2 linked regions of the Arabidopsis thaliana genome follow. The protein of the gene in region 1 interacts with the protein of each later gene in a pairwise test. Each region holds a gene or a part of one and is shown on either strand. Other genes may lie near its edges. The genes, in order: CIPK7 and PUP1.

What was found.
Region 2: the proteins of CIPK7 (region 1) and PUP1 interact in a protein complementation assay, tested with the Arabidopsis thaliana proteins (one large-scale study listed by BioGRID).

What each region holds. Positions count from the first base shown.
Region 1 is NC_003074.8:8,168,236-8,179,560, forward strand, and holds CIPK7 (CBL-interacting protein kinase 7), read left to right. Parts: upstream 1-4,243; 5' UTR 4,244-4,418; coding exon 4,419-5,708; 3' UTR 5,709-5,907; downstream 5,908-11,325. Other genes in the region: RLP36 (receptor like protein 36), read left to right, coding at 6,623-8,410; AT3G23020 (Tetratricopeptide repeat (TPR)-like superfamily protein), read right to left, coding at 8,980-11,325. UniProt on the Arabidopsis thaliana protein: CIPK serine-threonine protein kinases interact with CBL proteins. Binding of a CBL protein to the regulatory NAF domain of CIPK protein lead to the activation of the kinase in a calcium-dependent manner.
Region 2 is NC_003070.9:9,855,391-9,867,703, forward strand, and holds PUP1 (purine permease 1), read right to left. Parts: upstream 9,390-12,313; 5' UTR 9,165-9,389; coding exon 8,457-9,164; intron 7,173-8,456; coding exon 6,810-7,172; 3' UTR 6,651-6,809; downstream 1-6,650. Other genes in the region: ATJ1 (DNAJ heat shock family protein), read left to right, coding at 1-50, 175-258, 345-383, 467-577, 655-690, 809-896, 1,323-1,387, 1,487-1,549 and 8 more; PUP3 (purine permease 3), read right to left, coding at 4,913-5,278, 5,355-6,044.

The sequences.
Region 1 (11,325 bases):
TTTGACGATACTCGTTCTAAGGAATAAATGAATTTAATTGCATAGCGATGTTTAACGAATATATAATTGTAAAGGAAAAACTAAAAAAGACAAAAATTATTACGAAAACTACTCTTATTGGTGGTGGAGCATACATCCCCCACAGCATCATGCAAGACAACGTAGCTTTCAAAACTTCATACATCGATTTCAAGTATATGTTTTTTCTTTTGTAGATAATTAAATAACAAAGTTGGTGACTCCTATATAGAGAGAAATAATTAACAAGCTTTTAGTTTCAGATGTTATGCTAATATGCTAATGCGAATTACCAGATAACTTACTGAAGATATTACAAAAGTGTATTTGGTTCCATTTTTAATCATATACGTATTATGTAGCAAGTTATTCAATTATTTAGAATTTTTATGGTTTAAGCAAGTAAAATTCCAGTAGTCGGGTCCCATTATGGGAGACTTGAGCTCTCATGCTCACAACATCACCAAAAATGGGAATTCTCAAAAAGAATAAACATCAGCAAAAATGGCATAGCCACTTGGCAAAAGATTATTACAAACTAAAAATTATCTATTTAGCATGCAATGTTTATTCTATTTCTTTTTCTTATTTCAAAATTTGCAGCATTATGATTCACAGATCTAGAATAGAATTGGCCACTTCACAAAGTAATTCCAATTATGAATTAGAAAATCTTATTCATTTCTCTAATATTAAAAAGATTTTGTTAAAAATATATAGGACTCTGCTTTCTTTACCAAATATTTTGTGTATATAATGTATTAATCGAAACACATGGCAAACATACAGGTAGAGCTAATAATATAATCATGTAATATAATATTACTATATCGCTTAGATCTATAATTGGTGGTTCCTTGTTATTTCCGAATATTGTTATTTATATCATGGTGTCGTTTTCATTTTGGGGGTCAAAATCATGTCGTCTTCCACTCGATAATGGATCTCGGAAAATTATTTCTATGAATACTATTTTGGTACTTATTTATATCTTTCGTTTCGGTTTTACCACATCTCTAACATGAAAATAGTTAATTCTTTGACAAAAAAAAATTTTGGTTAATTTAGGGACTGCGAAAAGAGCACGTACCAAAATGTTTTAGATTACAAAAATGGTTGAATTTATGGCCACTATTGAAAAAAATAATTAAAATTCCACAAATCAAGATTTTACGTGAACATTTTGGTTAGGATGTATTAACATACATGTGTACGAAAACCATTTTTAGTCATTTTCAGAAAAATTATGCGTTACGAAATAACTTTATATATCCAATGTAAGAAAATAAAATAAATTTGCCTAACTTGTCCTGTGAATGAATCATTTCAAATGATAATAAAATCCATTTGTTTAATGATGATAATTTATATATCCAATGTACCAATTCATTCATGCGTTACGTTTCACCTTCTTCCACCTTATTTTGATTGCAGATAGAACACCTCTAAACCACATAAAACATATACACACAAAGACTCGACACATAATCGAAATTTTATATAACGAAAAAAAATGTAGAGCTTTAATTTATTATTGAATTTCAAGTTATCGTATGTCTCACGTAATTCGACATATAATTCCATGGGGAGAAATAAGTTTATCACGTCTCTTTGAAAGTTCAATGGTCGTATCGTTTATCTTTTTGTCCCAATAAGCTATCTAACTAATCTAAGTGAATTAAGTCTACTTAAGACAACTCCTACTTAGTTCTCCCCAATTTCTTCAATTAATTAATTTTCCTAATCACATTTCCAACAATTTATGCATGCGTATAAAATACAATTATATATTAATATGTACTAATACAAAATTTTATGATCTAGAACATGTATAAGTTTTCTTTTTTTTTTAGAATATCTAAAAGTTTAAACCCAAAAACTCAAAAACTTTACGTTTTTTAGAGACAGAATCTATACTAAATTAAATTTATTTCTCTAATAGACGTCGAACTCATTATCTCTATATTTGAAAGATTTACCACTGAATCAACATCATATTAGTATTTGTACAATTATATAGAACGATATACATTTTTGCCAACTTTTGAAATTATACTAAATGTCTAACCTTTAAACCAGTTTACTGTACAAATACCTATGTAAAAAGAATTCTGTGTGATATATAATTGTAAATATAATACGCAAAGAGATCGTCAATTTTGAAAAACACTTTAAATAGTAAATATTATATAGAAATTTATCTCCTTAAATTAGATGTCTATATGTTCAGAAAAAATATTGGTATATTTTAAAAATTACAACATGGCATCTGACCTGCTCAGAATTAAAATATTAACTGTAGAAGATATTTTGATACAACATAATCATATATTATTCCACTACCTCCAATAGTCCAAATATATAGCAATAATTTTCTAAAGATACGTATCAAGAATGGTTTAATATGATATCATTGTTACATGCATATGCGTAATTTTTTTCATAGTTAATATATTCTTTGTAATATGGAGCCGACTGATGAATATTGGTGAGTTCTAGTGTGTGACAAAGATGCCATTGTTGACTAGCAAATTCTAAATCTGAGGAGAATAAAATAATTCTAGAAATTGAACTTTTGTTTTTAACACCAAAATCAAAACCAATGGGCCCAATTCTTTGCTGACTTGGCCAAATGAGAGCCGTCCATATGTCAGTCGACAACTGCCAAACAATCTTGACGGTTTGTTAGTTTGGCTCAAAAGCCACCAGTAATCACTGATCAGTTTGGGACTTGAGTAAATGACTTATTTACCCTTAGTTCAATAATACGGTTTTGTGTGATTTAATTTGCTAGTTAAGTTAAACCATATTTAAGGATGGTTTAATTACATTTCAGGTGGAAAAAATTGATGAGAGAATCTAGCTAGAAAAAGATGGACACGTATGGACCGTTGAAAGTAGGAATACAAATTATTTAAGGAATACAATATTTAATTTCAACACCAAGTGTCGAATAGATACAACAATAATAATGATGAACACCAAGATTTATTTTATATTCTCTATTTTGAATATTGATTACTCCAACTTTTTCATGATTTGTTTTTCAGCACTTGAGATTGGAATAGACACACTGTGATATCGACCATAAAATATTTTCTTAGGAATATATCGTTGTGTATAAAGTATAAAGTTAAGTGTAATGCTTTAAACAAGAAAAATAAAAGAGTTGAGATTGTAATCATAGCAAAAGGCTATTTTATAGACCTTTTAGCGGATGGAAAAAAAAAAAAAAAAACACCTTTTAGCTACATGATGTAGCCTACATCATATATAAAAAAGATAATAGAATTATTTAAGAAATGTAATGTGTTATAAATTAATAACCAACACATACACAATAAGATTCATATAAGTTTATGAAATCAAGGTTGTGATATTGTTGTTATTGAGATCCAAAACTTAAAATCCAAAATATCAGAACTTTTGGAGCATTGGATTATATAAAATATATTTTTCTCAATCAAATCTTTTTTTAGTTAACAACTTTAAATTAATCGCAATAGAATTATTCATGAAAAATGTTATTTACATATAACCCAATCCAATGATTTCAAAAGAGATATTATAGAATTTTGTAAAGCATTAAAGATTTAACTACATTTTGTTACATAGACCCATAATCATAAAACCTTTGATTCATAGTTTCATTCTTATAATGGTCTCTTAAGTATGAAGGTGTTGTAGCGGAGACTAGAAATATATATGAGGGTAATGTTTGTCTGTTGAGACACATTTTTACAAGCTATTAAAAAAAATGATTCCAACAATATTTATTGAAAGTAAATGTATTTTATTAGGAGATTTTAAAATTAATGTCATATTCTAAAATGTACAATATATACATTATTTTTTGAAGATTTTACAATAAATTTCAAAGTGAAACTGAAATGATTTTATTAAATTTATATACATAACTCTTTGTGTTTTTTTGACAGTCATATATATAACTCTTAAACACAAGCTTTTACAGAACATCTACAGTTATTTTAGGTGAATAAACACTCCAATTTCAAACAATTTAAATAAATAAATGATAATTATCTGTCAACCCATAAACTTTACATTGTAAGACCATTTTATTTTATTTATTTTGACTATTTATGGATATGTGATATTATTGAGAAAAAAAACACTATTACTAATTGACAGAAAAAATACACTTAATATTTTCTCCTAAATTTTCTCAACGAATTAATTACAAAATAATGTGTATACCAAGTAAAAAGATTCTACTTCTCAGTGACAGCAGAACTAATTTATTCAAGGGTAGTTTCGGAATAATAAAAAAGCAATAAATCTCTTTTTCCTATAAAAGCAAAGAGACACTCACCAAACAACTCGTCCCTGAAACCTCTCTTCAGAAAACTCAGGCACCATTTTCTCCTTCCGCCGCCGCCATGGAATCACTTCCCCAGCCGCAAAACCAATCATCTCCGGCAACAACTCCGGCGAAGATCCTCCTTGGGAAATACGAACTCGGTCGTCGTCTCGGTAGCGGAAGCTTCGCGAAAGTCCATTTAGCTCGATCAATCGAATCCGACGAGCTCGTCGCCGTTAAAATCATCGAGAAGAAGAAAACAATCGAATCCGGTATGGAACCAAGAATAATCAGAGAGATCGATGCGATGCGTCGTCTTCGTCATCATCCAAACATACTCAAGATCCATGAAGTTATGGCAACCAAATCTAAGATCTATCTCGTAATGGAACTCGCTTCCGGTGGTGAACTTTTCTCAAAAGTCCTCCGTCGTGGACGTCTTCCTGAATCAACGGCGCGTCGTTACTTTCAACAACTCGCCTCCGCTCTTCGTTTCTCTCACCAAGACGGTGTCGCTCACCGTGATGTGAAACCTCAGAATCTACTCTTAGATGAGCAAGGTAACCTCAAGGTCTCTGACTTTGGTTTATCAGCTTTACCGGAGCATCTACAAAACGGATTGCTTCACACGGCGTGTGGTACTCCGGCTTATACAGCTCCGGAGGTTATTTCACGGAGGGGATACGACGGAGCAAAAGCTGATGCGTGGTCTTGTGGTGTGATTTTGTTTGTTTTATTGGTTGGCGATGTTCCATTTGATGATTCGAATATCGCTGCGATGTATCGGAAGATTCATCGGAGAGATTATCGGTTTCCGAGCTGGATTTCGAAACAAGCTAAATCGATAATCTATCAGATGTTAGATCCGAATCCAGTAACGAGGATGAGTATTGAAACAGTGATGAAAACGAATTGGTTCAAGAAGTCTCTAGAGACTTCTGAGTTTCATCGTAACGTCTTTGATTCGGAAGTAGAGATGAAATCGAGTGTTAATTCGATTACTGCTTTTGATTTGATCTCGTTATCGTCGGGATTAGATCTTTCTGGATTGTTTGAGGCTAAGAAGAAGAAGGAGAGGAGATTCACGGCGAAGGTTTCGGGTGTTGAAGTGGAGGAGAAGGCGAAGATGATTGGGGAGAAGTTAGGTTATGTAGTGAAGAAGAAGATGATGAAGAAGGAAGGAGAAGTGAAGGTTGTTGGATTAGGGAGAGGAAGAACTGTGATTGTGGTGGAAGCAGTGGAGTTAACGGTGGATGTTGTGGTGGTTGAAGTGAAAGTTGTTGAAGGTGAAGAAGATGATTCACGGTGGTCTGATTTGATTACTGAGCTTGAAGATATAGTTCTTTCATGGCACAATGACATCATGTAAATAGATTGTGACTTTGTGGATTTTAGTCTCTTTTTTGTTTTGTTTCTGTTCAGTTTTGTATAATCCATGAAGAAATCAAAATCTCCCGCTTCATTGTCTTTTTACCAGCAGATACATTACCCTCTCTGCTACCGATTCCATAAGCTTTGATCACTACATGGTACTCAATAATGATTCTCTTATTCGCTCCTTGTCGCTAAGCCCATGGGCTCAACTCAACGCATCTTCAACATCCTCAATATAAAATTCAAAGCCTCAAGAATAGGTGGGGATAATGTATCTTAGACATTTCGTCGAATTGGTGGGTGCTAAAAAAAATTCTTCAGTAAAAGAAAAGGGACGTAAGATAAGGTCCAACAAAAACAAATTATTCATAGGAAGACTTGCCAAGTCAAAAGTCAAGCTCCTCACACTTTTATAAAAACAAGTGAGTTTATGCTCATCACTTACCACAAACAAATTATCTTCCTTTCCCAAAAAAAACGAAATTGAGAGACGATGATTCGAAGCCTATCTTATTGCTTTCTTACCATCTATTTCTTCTTGAGCATTCTTCCATTACCAAACACCATTGCTTGTCCCACACGGTTACTGTGCCGCAGCGACCAAAGAGATGCTCTTTTAGAGGTACAAAAGGAGTTACATGTACCAACAACTACATGGAACAAGAACGTTGACTGTTGTTCTTGGGATGGTGTCACATGTGATGCTATATTGGGAGAGGTGATATCACTACAACTCTATTATAGTACTGCTAACATCTTCGTGAGCTAGTGCTTTCACGTTGCAAACTTCAAGGGGAAATTCCTTCTTCCATTGGAAATCTTTCTCATCTCACATATCTTGATCTTTCGAATAATCAATTAGTAGGTGAAGTTCCCGCTTCAATCGGTAACCTAAACCAACTAGAGTCCATGCGTCTTTGGGATAATGATCTAAAAGGTAATATTCCTACTTCATTTGCCAACTTAACAAAGCTTTCTGAATTGTACCTCTTTGGAAATCAGTTCACGGGTGGGGATACAGTATTAGCCAATTTAACCAGCTTGTCCATTATAGACCTCTCCTTAAATTACTTCAAATCCTCCATTTCCGCTGACCTTAGTGGACTTCACAACTTAGAGCGATTTTCGGTGTATAACAACTCATTTTCCGGACCTTTTCCTTTATCATTGCTCATGATTCCTTCTTTAGTCCATATTGATTTAAGCCAAAACCACTTCGAGGGACCTATTGATTTTAGGAATACCTTTTCATTATCTAGGCTAAGAGTGTTATATGTTGGCTTCAACAATTTAGATGGGCTAATTCCAGAATCTATATCTAAATTAGTCAATCTCGAATATTTAGATGTTAGCCACAACAATTTCGGAGGACAAGTCCCTAGATCAATATCTAAAGTAGTCAACCTCACTAGCGTTGACCTTTCCTATAATAAGTTGGAAGGTCAAGTCCCTGATTTTGTATGGAGATCCTCAAAGTTGGATTATGTGGATCTTTCTTATAATTCTTTCAACTGCTTCGCCAAATCAGTGGAAGTTATCGATGGAGCATCATTAACTATGTTAAATCTTGGTTCAAATTCAGTCGACGGACCATTCCCCAAATGGATATGCAAGGTTAAAGATTTATACGCCTTGGATTTGTCCAACAACCATTTTAATGGTTCCATTCCTCAATGTTTGAAGTATTCCACTTATTTTCATACGTTAAATCTGAGAAACAACAGTCTAAGTGGGGTTCTACCAAATTTATTCATTAAGGACTCTCAGTTGCGATCACTTGACGTTAGCAGCAATAATTTGGTGGGTAAACTTCCAAAATCGTTGATCAACTGCGAGAGGATTGAATTTTTGAATGTGAAAGGAAACAAAATCATGGACACGTTTCCATTTTGGTTGGGATCTCTACCATATTTAAAAGTTCTTATGCTCGGATCAAATGCATTTTATGGTCCCGTCTATAACCCCTCCGCATATTTGGGGTTTCCAAGTATAAGGATCATTGATATATCCAATAACAACTTTGTTGGATCATTGCCACAAGACTATTTTGCCAATTGGCTTGAAATGTCTTTGGTGTGGAGTGGTTCGGACATCCCACAGTTTAAATATATGGGAAACGTTAATTTTAGTACGTATGATTCGATCGATTTGGTGTACAAAGGAGTAGAGACGGATTTTGATCGTATCTTTGAAGGTTTCAATGCTATTGATTTTTCTGGAAACCGATTCTCCGGACATATCCCTGGGTCTATTGGTCTACTGAGCGAACTGCGTCTTCTGAACTTGTCAGGCAATGCATTCACAGGCAATATCCCACCATCCTTGGCGAATATCACAAATCTCGAGTCATTAGACCTATCACGAAATAACTTGTCTGGTGAGATTCCTATAAGTCTTGGAAAACTCTCGTTTTTGTCCAACACCAACTTCTCCTACAATCATCTTGAAGGATTGATTCCACAAAGTACACAGTTTGCAACTCAAAATTGTTCTTCGTTCCTGGGTAATCTTGGACTCTATGGTTTCAGGGAAATTTGTGGAGAAAGCCATCATGTGCCCGTTCCTACTACATCTCAGCAACCCGAGGAACCTTTGTCGGAATCGGAAGACCAATTGCTGAACTGGATAGCAGCTGCGATAGCGTTTGGACCTGGTATGTTTTGTGGATTAGTGATCGGACATATCTTCACTTCATAGTTCATACAAACATGAGTGGTTCATAGCTCGTTAAGCCCATCTCTCTCCCGGTCAAGTTTGTACTACGGTAACTAAGCTCGCTAGTTGTTTTTTCTGTCCTTGTAATTTCCCATTTAGTGGTTGCATTATAATTTATAAACAGTGTCGACGTTATAAGCTGTTATGTTCTCACCATAGTGTGTAACGTGGTCCATGTTTGTATAGTTGCATATGTATCTCTATTATAAATCTTTAATAACATGTCTTGAAATTCATGTTTAATACTATGTCCCATAGCCATCCATTTATCTTTGTGGAAATAGTTTGTCGGCCACAATGTTATTGCCCATACCAGACTTACTAAGAAAGAAGATAAACCTTGACGAGTGGCTTTGCTCTTTCTTCACCTCATGATGACCTATTCTTATAAATTGTGACGTGTGGATTTTAGCTTCTTTATTTTCTTTTTATGTTTTCGTCTGTTCAATTTTGTATAATCATGAAGAAATCATATCTCCCGCGTCATAGTCATTTTAAAGGTTTTTATATACATAGAGACACAGCTAAAAATCTACCAAAACTTTTCAACACTAAAGCTCGTCGACACAATCTCCAATCCCAACAAGAGATGAGAGAGTTGAGATCCATAGCTCTAATCCTCGCTTGATCTCTTTTTTCCTAATTTCTTCGATCTTACGAACAGCTTTTTTCGACATCCCAAGTTTCATCAGAATGGTTCCTAGTGATTTGAACGTTGAGTCATCAGGTTGAATTCCAGATGACACCATCTCTTTGAATGTCTCAACAGCTTCTTTGAATCTCCCGTCTAAAGCGAATAAGCCGAGAACGCTGTTGTAGCTCAACGGATCAGTTAGAATCTTCATCTCTCTCATCTGTTTTGCTATCTGAGTCGCTTCTTCAAACCGACCGTTCTTCTTGTACATACATAACATCATCGCAAAGGTAAACTCGTTTGCTTCTCCTCTCTGTTTCATGCTATCGAATATAGCTTCTGCTTTTCTCACCATCGATCTTTCGCTATACAGGTTGATCATACAGTTTGATGTATATACATCCGGATATTGCGTCTTGTTACACGATTGAAGAAGCTTTCTGTATATTGCTTCAGCTTCATCTAAGTACCCGACTTTGGTGTAGAGCTTAATCAGAGAATTGTATATAACAGAGTTTCCCGGGATTCCAGCTTCTTTCATCGCTTCTACGTAACTCATAGCTTGCTGAACATTTCCAGTATCTGCAAAAGCATTGATCAAGACTCCATATACAACAACATCAGGTTCGATATTGTACTCAACCATCTCTTTATACACTTCCTCTGCCATATTGAGCTGACCGAGTTTCACAAAGCTCGATATCACAGCACAGTATGGTATGCAATCGCTCACATATCCCGTCTCTCTCATTTTCTCCAAGTAGCATCTACCTTTATGAGGCATGTCGGCACTCGCAAGGATCTGGACGAGAGTATTATATGTACACTTATCCGGTGTGACCCCATAACTCATCATGCTCTCAAATAACTCACATGCCTTTTCACAGCTTTTACTAATTCCATACGCTTTGATCATTACATTGTACTCAATAACTGTTCTCTTATTCACTTCTTGGCAGCAGATAAACACTCTCTCAGCTTCTGATAAATATCCACGCTCACCATATGCATCGATGTTGGCTGAATAGCCTTCAGAACTCATATTACCCGCAACATGAAACCTTTTGAACCATGACCATGATTTCTCAAGCATCTCTGCTTCTACATACATTCTAGTGAGAGCAGATTGTGTATACTCATCTATCTCAACATTATCATCATCCATCTCAGCTATAAGCCCTTCAGCTTCCTCAACCATATGTCTAATCGAGAATGCATATAGGAGAGTGCGGTAACTTACAGGATCCGGTTTAAGCCCATCGTCTTTCATTTCCTTGAAGTAGGCTCCTGCCCTTTCTATATCGTTGTTCTTCGTGTGAAGTGAAATCAGAATGTTATACGTTCTTGTATCAGGTGCACAATGAAGCTTCATTGTTTTCATCAAAGAAGTGACTTCACCAAGCTGACCATTATTGCCATAAATATGAATCATGGTATTAAAAGTCACTGTGGTTGGAACAATCCCTTCTTCTAGCATCCTCTTAAACGTCTCTGAAGCTTCTTTTATCTGACCGGACTTACCATACGTATCAATCATCGTGTTGTAAGTATAAGAGCTCAAGCAAACATGTGAATCCGCCTTGTTTTCGTCACACGACCATTTCTTGAAAAACTCCTCTGCTTTTTGAAACTCTCTTGCCTTCTTATACATTTGAAGAACAATCCCTGTTGTTACTTCATCAGGCTGCATCCCAATCTTACTCATCTTCCCTAACCAACAAAGCGCATGTACTTTAAGCCCGCCTTTGCTATAAACATCGATGAGAGTCCCATACGTCGAATTAATCGGCTTGATACCTTTCCTAATCATTTCATCCCATAAACTCTGTACATACCTCCACTTACAAGCTTTCCCAAGTATCCTGAGCATGATATTATAATGAATCACATTCAATTCATAGCAACCTTTACTCTTAAACCATTCGAATATCTCCACCGCTCTCTCCCAATGTATCTGCTCCTTTAATATAATCGTTCTCTCCTTGTTACTAAGCCTCTCTGCCCACGGACTCAACGCATCTTCAACATCTTCAATACTATCCAAAGCTTCTAAAATAGCGGGAATACATCCTCCGTAACTCAGACGTTTCGTCGAACACTTGGTGTGCACTTCACTAACCAAACCATTCCCACCAAATCTCGCATCTTTACTTCTCTTATCAACAAACCCATCAATGATCCCTGATTTTCCGACGCAACCATTACTTGGGTTTACTAAAAGTAAGTTTTTTCCGGCGACAACTTCATGAGCAACGGTACCACA
Region 2 (12,313 bases), on another chromosome or scaffold:
GTGTTTCTCCTAAAGCTACACGGGAGGAGATTAAAAAATCATTTCATGAGGTGAGTCTTTCGGCTCATTGTTAGTGGACTGTTCTTCAGCTTTAAACATTTTTTTACATCAAGCAAAAACTATTAGTAAAAGTTGTCTGCTCAAAATTGATGAGTGAATGCACAATTGTTGCAGCTTGCGAAAAAATTCCACCCTGATACAAATAGAAATAATCCGTCAGCAAAAAGGAAGTTCCAGGAAATAAGAGAGGCATATGAGGTAGTTTTTTCTTTTCCATCTGCCATCATCTGTGTATTTTGAATGTATCTTCTGATATACTTTTGTGTTGGATTAAAAAACTGTAGACCCTGGGAAATTCGGAAAGAAGAGAAGAATATGATAAGGTACGCTTTTTTGTTGTTTTTATTCTTATTTATCTGGTGGCGAGATCACTAAATATATTTCTTGATGTTATCACTCGATCCAGCTGCAGTATCGGAATTCGGATTATGTAAATAATGACGGTGGTGATTCAGAGAGGTTCAGACGTGCATACCAGTCCAATTTCTCGGATACTTTCCACAAGATTTTTTCTGAGGTACATTATTATGTTTCCCTTTTGCTCATCTTTTTATGTGATTAGTTAAATCTCTAACATTAGTAAACTTTATTCAGATATTTGAGAACAATCAGATAAAACCTGATATTCGGGTCAGTTTCTCTGATTCTCTCTTTTATTTATACAACTGGAATCTGGTTGACTTATATAAATCTTGTTGTGTAGGGCTCTTCAGTAATACACATGTTTATATTGTTAAAAATTGAATAGGTGGAACTGTCGCTTTCTCTTTCCGAAGCTGCAGAAGGGTGCACAAAACGTTTGTCTTTTGATGCATATGTCTTTTGTGATTCCTGTGGTGAGTGGCCACAGAAGTTTTCTTATATTGTCTCTTTTGCATTTACTAATATTGACAAGCCAGTCATGGCTCGCAAGATTTCCTGTAAAGATACTTGAGAGTATAGACACTTTAAATTAGGAGTCCTAACTCGTCATGGTACATTATTATTCAGTTGCCCAAAATGGTAAAATATTTTTCTTAACGAAGAATAGACTTCTGGAAATGGCTCTGTGATCCATCGATGTTAATGTACATGTATCTACAGTTTGTTGTCTCTTTTTTTTTTTTCTTTTTTTAATTTTATTCTTGTAACATTTACAGCCTTCTGTCTTTAAAAAGTTACTGATTCAGCCAACTTTGAGAGGACGAGTAAACTCAGTTGGGTGAAAGTAATATTGTTGCAAAACCATGAATCCCAATCTCGCATTGTTTATCATTTTACAGATGGGCTTGGCCACCCTAGCGATGCTGCCATGAGCATTTGTCCAACATGCAGGGGGGTTGGACGAGTAAGTACCATTTAGAGGATATAAGTTTTATTTTCTTTGGAGGGTTAATAAATCATACAATTTCTATTTACAGTACTATGCTGTCTGTCTCTTTAACAGGTAACTATTCCTCCTTTTACAGCATCATGCCAGACGTGCAAGGGGACGGGACACATTATTAAGGTTTGAGAAAAAGAGCTACTTTATTGACGCTTCAGTAGTTATCTCTCTGGCACTGGTTACGAGTATATATGTGTTTATTTCTTCAGGAATACTGCATGTCTTGTAGAGGATCAGGTATTGTGGAAGGCACAAAGACAGCTGAACTTGTGATCCCTGGAGGTTAGTCTAAATCTTCATGCTTTTGTTTATCTTTAACTTGGTTTTGATTCCAAACATGTCTGTCTGCTATGGAACGAGTAGCAAGATTTCATTCACTCTGTTACGTTCCTTTCTTTGAGGATTTGTGTGGTTTAGATGTAATCCAATTTAGATATCGGTCACACTTATTGTTTGACTGGCTTTTCTTTTTCTTTTCTAAGATTATGCTTGGCAATTTACATTTTCTGGTTAATTCTGTGCTTGGTATTTTGGGGCAAAGATGAAACAATGAATTTGGGATTGTGATTTCCGATTATCATCTTACATGACTTTGGTGGATTAGATAGTGAAATAGGTTTTTGATGACAAAATTCTGTCAAACTTTAATTTGCTTTCTTCTCTCTGTACTTGACCACAGGGGTGGAGTCTGAAGCTACAATCACAATCGTAGGTGCTGGTAATGTAAGTTCAAGAACAAGTCAACCTGGGAACTTGTATATCAAACTAAAGGTTTGTTAAAGCATCTGTATTTTCTTCAAATTTGTACTTGTATATTTTGTAAGACGTGCCTAGAGAAGTTTGAATCAAACTCACCCTTGACGTTGATGATTGGTCTACCATTTAAGTCCATTGATCAATTTAACCTAAGAGATAAAACAGTTAATATAAGTGGCAAAGTCATGTTATAAGTCATATATTGACTTTGAACGAATTCATTTCAAAAATGATCTAAACCAATGTTCACAGATTTATATGTGATTGCTACTCTACTTTGTTTGTTGCGTCACTATATAATCAAGACTTATTACATCCAGTGAATCAATTGTTCATGCTCTCTTGTAAAGTATTCTTCAATTCTATCATCATTCTTGCCTCATTTAGGGTCTTACTGCATGCTGAATTTTCCTTTATTGACACGTATCTAATCTTCTTTTGGTCACAGGTTGCTAATGATTCAACTTTCACTAGGGATGGCTCAGATATATATGTGGATGCTAATATTAGCTTTACACAAGTAAGCACACTGGTGAATCCTGAATTTTGGGTTATAAGCAGAGCAGTACCTTCGAAACTCATGTTTTTTCTGCATGGTGACACTTTGTGGTCAAAACTCAAAAGCCTTAACTGCTAGCTGATAAAGCTCTGCAGTAACATAATTTAGGCATGTCCTATGATAAAATAAAACCTCTTAGAGGACATAAACTAGAGAAAAGTTATCTGGAGTCTAGCTGAAAATTAATGAGTTTTGTCCTATTCAACTGGTTTATGTGCCAAAAGTTTACTAAACTACTAGGTTTAATAATATTAGCTAGTAGCATCTTTATCATTATGTATATGATGCGCTTATTCTCTAAACTAGATAATGTGGCATATCGGTTCAAACTCAATTTGATGGCCCCAGTCATAAAACTCAAGTGCATGCTACTGCACTATTTTGCCACCAAGCCATAGTACCTCGGCTGCAGTATTTTTCTATTATAGTGCATCCTTTCATCTCTTATGGTTCACGTTGTTCCTACTATTTCTCCCTTGAGCCATACTGGACATGTCTTAGAAAACTTATTTGACAGGCTATTTTGGGGGGCAAAGTTGTGGTGCCAACACTTTCAGGCAAGATACAGCTAGATGTAAGATTCGTCTCCCAGTGAGATTCATATAATATTTTGTTTGTTTATAATTTGAGTCAAGTTGGTTTTCATCCTCTGACCAAGAGGAAGGTTAGATCTCAAGGCTTTGGAGATAATAGAGGTACCTTATTGTAATTGTTGCAGATACCAAAGGGGACTCAGCCTGATCAACTTCTTGTTTTAAGAGGCAAAGGTACATATAATTATCAGCCTATATGTTCAATTTTTTTTGTGTATTTGCGTGTACTCTTCTTAATAGGTTAGTTCCTGCAGGACTACCGAAGCAAGGCTTTTTTGTAGATCATGGAGATCAGTATGTTCGCTTCCGCGTTAACTTTCCTACGTAAGATTTCTTTTACTTGAAGTTCAAGTAATACACTTGTTGGAGACATCCACATTATGCTATGCTAAAAACTCTACTAGTGTTTAGAATGGAAAAGACACTTTGTTGCTCTAAAGTTACGGTTTTTGAAATAATTTTCCTAGGACAACATTGTGTTAATTTCCCTGCCGTCTGATTATTAAATCTGATTACATAAGCTTCTTGATGTTCTGGTGGCATGTGGATGTGTTGGATTCTCTTCTTTTCATTTCCGTCAAGAGCTAATATTGATAGATTTCTGGTATATGCTTATGCGGTTTACTTTTTTCCTTGTATCTACTAGTGAAGTGAATGAACGTCAGCGTGCTATACTGGAAGAGTTTGCAAAGGAAGAAATCAACAATGAGTTGAGCGACTCTGCTGAAGGAAGTTGGTAAGTAAATTTTATTATTGTGTTTATAACAGCATATTGTGTGTAATATTAGATGGTTAGACGTAAATGGACATCTGGTATAATTCACCTCAAAGGAATGTAGTTGGTTACAATAGAAGAATTAGTGATGCTTATACATTACTGGTACATTTTCTAGGCCTGCTTAGAAATAAGAGTTAGAAAAGGCGGATATGTAGATAACAACAAGACATAATTGAAAAATGAGATACCTAGGTTCTCTTATAAGAAATAACTAGAAGCTCTAAGGGAAACAGTGTAAGAAAGCCAAAATGTCTGTTGGGGCTTTTTCTTTACATTTTGATTCAACTGAATGTTATTTCCTCACTAGCGATTGTTCCTTATAGTAATGAAGAATCATGAATATGAACCAAACAGGCTTTACCAGAAGCTCTCTACTGGTTGAACTTACAGGTGGAATCTAACGGGTCCTCAGATCATCCGCGACTTCTCGTTAATGGTGCTGCTGGCGCTATTGTTGAGCAGGTTAATGGGATGAAGCCACCACGAGAGATGAAAGATAAAAGCATTCAACAGAAGACAAATGAAGACTAATTTCATCTATTGCTGGTAGAACAAAAAGCTCACCAGCATAACAGAGAGTGTCATTGTTTGACCTCATAATTCTATTACAAACTCATTTGATGTGAATAATAAGAGACATCAAACAAGTTAAGCTGAAATAAAGAAAAGAAAAAAAAAAGTCCTTTAAGATTGTGTTTTCGGCATAATCCCACAAGTTTCTCAAACATATCTTCTAATCTACTTGGCGGAGAAATGAGTGCTATGATGTCTTTAAACGAAAAGCCATGCTTCGTTGAGTTTTAACACTCACTTATGGGTCTTGACAAAGAAGATTGTTCTGTCTCCTGACTCTCCTCCTGCTGAATTCTCCTTTTATCCTCGCCAGACTTTATCTCACCATAAAAGTAAGAGACAAAGCCCCAAAGGGAGAGAGCAAGAGAAAGTCCCTTCTCAGCTTGAAACTTTTCATGGTAGAATATAACAGCTAAAACCTCTGTAATTGGCAAAAGCACTGATATCATAATACCCGAGACGAGAGACGATGTGGAGAAGATTAATCCAATGGCTCCCAAGAAGAAGCCTTGCCATATGATGGCTGAAAACACAGCCACCACATAGAACAATGCCTCTCCAAGCTTGAACTCTCTTGCTTCTTTTGGTAAGGCCTGCAAAAACAGTAAAGGGCTCAAGTCTCTGTTAAAAACTCTTTTGTATGTTTTCAGATTCAAAAGAGTGACTAACCTTGAAATCACCAGCGATGAACATACCGATGACGCTGACAATAGAAGCAAGGAGACACAAAATCAACTGGAACTCGAGCACAAGGGTATAGCTCATGGTTTGCTTAGCTTTCTGGTAAGCAAGTTCCACTAATGGCAAGATGAAAGCATACATAACAGCTGCTGCTACAGTAATCAAGAAACCAGTTATGTACTGCTTGTGAGTCTCATGAACTGGCTTATCAGTTTCGGTATGCATTCCCAAAACCGCAGCACCAACAGTCAACAACACAACAGCATTGATGGTAAAAGGAGTGAACTTATGTTTAACCATGAAGAATGAGAAGATAGCTATAAAAGCTAACTGTGAAGCAATGATAAGAGCAGCTGTAGAAACTGGAAGATAAGCTATACCATATGCATACAAGTAGTTATCAAACCCTGAGAGAATGCCTACAATAACAGCGGCGATAAGAAGACGCGGTTTGATAAGAAAGAAACTTGTACTATCACCCACATTGTTGCTTCTGCGCCGGGTAATGTAAGAGAAGAGCAGAGGAATGAAGATAACAGGAAAGCCTGCAGTTTCAAGAAACGTAGAGAACCAAATCCTTTTACCGCCATTGTTGAAGTAGAGACGCATAATCAAAGGACCTCCACAGTTTCCTATGGCTAGAATTATGCAGTTTATGATCACAAGAGCCTTCACCATTCTTGTCTGATTTCTTGTGGATAATGAAGGTTGGTGGTCGAAGGAGTTAGTTATAAGGTTTGGTGTTGCTGTGTTTTGGAACAAATTTGGTCCGGTTTTAGATTCTGTCGTGATAGATCTTTGTGTTTCTTTTTACCTAACGAGGCTTCAATGGCTAAAACATGACTTTTCCTATTTTATACCCATAAATTTTGCTAACTGTTTAATTTCGTATAAAAAACGTAGTAATTATCTTATAGACCAGATAATATCATATCTCTCATATTAATTTACGTTTCCATCAAATTCTACAGTTTTGATTATTGGATTTATTTCTTTCTAAATTTAGTGCAATGACATTAAGATTTTCAGTTCATAATTCTCTCTATAATTAGAAGATTTTAAGGATGGTTAATTGGTTCTTTGACTCTATCTCTTTTGTTTTCTCTTCTTCTTTCTATATTAGTTCTTTGATTTATATACAAATTTTTATATTAAATAGATAAATTATATTAATCTTAAATTAAAAGTGTGAAATGTTTATTTTATAAAATCGATAAATAGGATGTGATTTTATCAAATACGAAATATCCTATCTTTTACTTATCATTATCATTCTATTTCTACTACAAGTGTATTAAAATTTGCATTTATCAAATAGCTCAATATCTTTCAAATTTATTCATACTTATACACAAGAACAATAACAAAACACACAATCACACATAATATTAGGAACAAAACATAACAGTAATGCTCTGTTATAATCCTATAGAGTTATAGAAATTAAGCAACATAATCACTAACAGGAAGAATAGGCAGTTCTGTCTCCGGCGGTTGAGGTTTATCAACAACTTTCTTGCCGGATTTAAACTCGCCGTAGAAGTAAGAGACAAATCCCCAAAGAGAAAGAAGTAGAGAGACACCTTTCTCTGCCTGAAACTTCTCCCGGAAACAAACGACGGCGAAAACTTCAGTCACCGGAAGCAGAACACTTATCAGAACACCAGAAGCTAGTGATGATGCACAAAACACAATCCCTATGGCTCCTAAGAAGAAACCTTGCCATATTATTCCTGTGATCACTATCAATGCATAGTAAAACACTGATCCTCCAATCTTGAACTCTCTTGCTTCTCTTGCTATCACCTACAAAACATGTATGATGATGATTTTAGTTGATTCTCAAGTTTAATCATAATTTTAAATAGATATGGAAATACAGGATAAAGGTTTGAACAATTTTTAAATAATGTTTCTAATAAAAGATAAGGAAGACAAATCATATATATGAAAGTTGGCCAACTCTCTCCATATGATTGACACATCATCACTTTAACATGTGCCATGTGTCCACATAATAATTAATGTAAGCTTTCAACTTTTAATTTATAGATTAATGATGTATTTATTATTTAATTTTACATATTTAATTGTACTAATACTAAATTTATTTTGTTATTACATGTTGTTCAATAAAATAATTTTATTGGTTTTCTCATACTCAGAAGATTTTTTTCTGTAATCTTAACTCAAATTATGAGTGTATAGTAGTCATGGATTAGTTAATAGTTTGAATAGTTTGCATATTGTTATATATCTATATAATAAATCGCCGAGGGTGAAGAGTATGTAAGAAATTTAATCATCAAATTCTTAGGTTTCGAGAATTCCAGTATTACCCTCTATTTAATTAGTTTAAGATGAACATTGTTTAGGAATTGTGTGTATAATGCATTGTTGAGAATGTTGTTAGAAAAAATATATTTTAATACTAAGAATAATTACTTATTACATAAGTAAATGATTAGATAATTAAAAATTATATTTAAATTATACGATACAAAAAATCTGAAAATACCGCAGCGTAGCGCGGGTGATTACCTAGTATTACATAAAACCTTATTGAAATTGTTAAATATTTTATAAATTGCTCAAACCTTTATCTTGTATTTTATATAATATTTGTTTTTAATAAAAGATCAGGAAGACAAATATTACATAAAATCACATATTTTATTATAACCAGGAAATCTATATTAAAATTGTTAAATATTCTATAATATCCATATGTATTTAGAAAATGTTTAAATACAGATACCAATATATCTTGGTTGACTAGTATAGTCTAGTACCAATGATTCTGAAATAATTTCTATATATATAATTGTTTCCATGGATTTTCTCCATTAATAATACAAAAGAACAAATCTTAGTATTCCTCATTTCTTGGGAATCCAGACTAAATTTTGGCCTCTATCATAAAATGAACAAAAAAACTATATAATTTAGAAAAACATTAAAAATAGAGAATCCAAAAACTCAGCTAAAGTCTTCATCAAAATCTGCATAATATTTTTTTTATCAAGATCATCCCATGATACTCTCTCTTATACTAAAAACACAACGTGAAAAAAACTGTAAATTTCTTACCTTAAAATCTCCAACGATGAACATGCCAATGACACAGAAAAAAGTAGCAGCAAGGCACATGACCATCTGAATCTCAAGCACAAGTGGGAAAGTGATTTCTTGACGAGCTTTCTTGTAAGTTAGCTCAACGAGCGGTAATATAAAAGCATAGAGAAGAGCTGCAACCACAGTCATCAAGAACCCAACCACATACTCTTTCTTGCTCTCCTTAGCCGGTTTGTCTCCATCACTGTGTAACGCAAGGATCCCGATACCAACCGTCAACAAAACGACGGCGTTTATGGAGAACGGAGTGAACTTTTGCTTGACTAACAAGAAAGCGAAGAGAGCGTTGAAAGCTAGTTGAGTTCCGATTATGAGCGATGAAGTTGAAACTGGCAGATATGCTAATCCGTAAGAATATAAGTAGTTGTCAAGTCCTGTGAGCAACCCTATGACAATGGAGGCGATAAACAGAGGAGTTTCCATGAGGAAGAGCTTTGTTTTCCGCTTGTTTTCCGCGTTGTTAGGGTTGCGGTTGCTGCGGCGACGGCTGAGGAAGGAGACCAAGAGAGGGATGAGGATGATTGGAAAACCAGCGGTTGATAGGAAGCTCATGAACCAGATTCGTTTTCCGCCATTGGTGAAGTAGAGACGAGTTAACAAAGGACCTCCACATGTTCCTATAGTGAGGATAATACAGTTTATGATTATCAAACCATTCTTCATCTTCTTCTTGCTGCTTGCTGTTTTTGTTGTCCTCTGTTTTGGCCTTTTTGATGATATTTCTCATCAGCTTGAGGGGTCAATGAGCAATTATATGTTTTTCATTTTGTGTGTGTTTTGTTTGTTTGTGGTTTTGGATCGTGTGATACATTGTCAAGGAAGTTGGGAAATTAAAACGGTGGGACATAACATAGCGGGCGCGTTTGCGATTTTAAAACGTTATACTTACTACTAGGGTTTGAATTTCCAACTAAGGATGGTCCTTTGTTTTATCGTGATAAAAAAAGAGACGTGTTATTTTCTGCTCTACATACATTGAGTATGACAAAAGAAAGAGTTGAATTGTGGAGATAGAAAAAAACAAATCGTCTCTCTGTGTTACGCTAAATTTTCGTTGTGTGTATAAAAAGCAAGAAAACAAAATTTCGAGAAGAAAAAACAGACGTGATTTAAGAGAAATATCTTTATACTTGGTTTTATCTTTAGATGAGGATATTGTTATAGAAAAGTTATCTTGATTAGAAATTTATCTTTAGTATCCATTTGTCTTCGTTTACGGACTATTGTAATCAATCATTTTGTCATATGCTTTAATACATGGAATGCTGACTTAAGCTATTTTGTTTGTAGACTTGATTATTATTTGTTGCAACTAGTTGTTTTGTTTTTATAGCTCCATTGTTGAACTCGCGTAGTCAGTCGTTGGCTTGAAAGAAGTGATTCAATTTATGGTTTCTACACCACTATATTTAACAAGGTTTCTACCCGCTAGGATACTAAATACATCAACAAATTAGATTTTAACCCGCGGTATACCGCGGAACGATTTATTTTGTAAAAGTAATATATATTAAAAGTTGCAAATTTTATTTTTATAAAATATTTACATTTTACAGTTTATAATTGTTGTTAAGTAACGCTATATCACGAATCAATGAGACAATTGTTAAAAAACTGAAGTTTTAACCCCTATTAAAACAGCATATTAATAATATTTTAAAATTTTTTAAATATTGATTCAAATACATCCACCATATAACCCAATTCCAAAATAAAATCTGTTCTGTAATTTCTTTACCCGTCCCGTGATAATTTTAAAGTAGTAATTTTAAAATTTTAAGAATTATTTTTTATATATAAAAGTTTTGCAAATTGTATCATTCTCTAATACATTTATATTTTATAATTTAATTTTATATATAGTAACATTATACATACCACATAACATTTTTGGTTTTATATAATCTTTTCTAAATTTGGATGATTTGATATGTTTAATATCAGTGGTCTTAAAAAATAATAAATTAAAGATTTAACCCGTATTGAAACGGTGGATTAATTATATTTTACTTTTTTATTAATGTTTATTCAAAAACCCGTCCCTCCAAATCCGTCTTACAAAAAAGCCATTTATTTTATTAATGATATGACTATGAATTATAATCTAAACATTTTAGCTAATAACATAGGAGTGCACTATATTTATTTATTACGGGAATGTACCTTATAACCCGAATGCACTTTTACTTAAATCCACCAAAAAAAAGTCTTGTAAAAATATTATAGAGATAATAAACGATAGTCGGTTTTGATAGGTATAAGATTAGCAAATATATTAGTTAGTTTTTATTAGTTAAAGAATACAAATTAAAAAGGTATATTACACTTTATTCAAATATAGTATCAAAACTTATATAACACAGAGATTTGATAATTTTTTAATTGTTGAATATTTTTTTTGTGCTAATTTTTATGTGATTAAGATTTAATTGATTTCGTATATAAAATTATTAAATTGTTTTACGAACTTATTTGTTTATAATTTGGTAACAGATAGATATTCGAATATTCAGAATATTTTGCTTCAGTTTAGGAAATCTTTGATGACCCGTTTTTAGATCCAATAAGCCCTATAATCTAGATATTAACCTGCAGTATACCGCATGTACGCTTATATTTTAGTTAAACTAAAAACTTTTACTGTAAAGATGATTTAAAAATATTTGATATTATTTTATTTGATTATAAATGTATAGTAAACTGTGAGTTGTATATGTTTTGTTGATATTATCTATATTGTTTAGTGTTTAAGATTATACATTTATAGTTTGATTGTTAATTTAAGAGTTTTACCTGTAGTATACCATCTTGTATTAATATCGATCTAAACCCGTAAATTATAGGATTTTCCACCTTGTATTAAAAATTGAATCACATCATACACATAAAAAAATCTAATATGTTATTAATTATTGTAGTATATAAGATTATAAATTTTCAATATAATATGTATGAAATTGAATATAAATATTTCAAATTATGACATGTTACTCAGTAGAAAGTTTTTTTAAATCTATTTTTCACCCGTTATAATATTTTTTCATGTATTGAACAATTTATATTCGTTTTTAAAAATTCAAATTATGGCATATGCGAAAAATCTAATTCTTTTTTTATAATGATGATTTTATTTTTTCAAAAAAATAGAATCATATAAAGATGAGAAGTGAACTATAATAATTAATAAAAAATTAATATGATAATTTAGATATCAAATCTACTTTGTTGATTTTAATTGGTTACTTTTTCGGAAATTAATAATGTATTTTGTTTTTTCTAATTAAATTAAATTAATTGAAATTTATATATCAAATCTTATATGTTAATTTTGATTGGTTATTATTTTTGGAAATTAATAATGTATTTCGTTTTTTAATTAAATTTAATTAATTAAATTAGTATTTGACTTAAAGAGATAAATTAATTTACTCTTTAAATTTTATTTCTAATGGCATACCTATGTAATTACTTACAAAAATTAAGGTTACATTTAAAATGTACTTCCCAAATAATATAGTAGGATGTAGCGGCCTATACAATATATAGACCTATTTCGGCCGCAAATTACTCAAAGCTTCTCTTGTTTTGGTTTAGATATAGTCGGTTCTGAGTGCATACCATAAGATGTGGGTCTTAGGTATATTCAGTAGTAATAGTCTTAGGGAATCTCATAGTGGGTTGATATATTGTAATACTCGCATGAAATATCATAAGATGTGAGTGCATTTTAGAATATTGAAGTATATGTTAGTATGTTACATTATTATTATAGCTTTAAGACCAAGTCAAGAATGGTGGTGTTAGTTCATAAT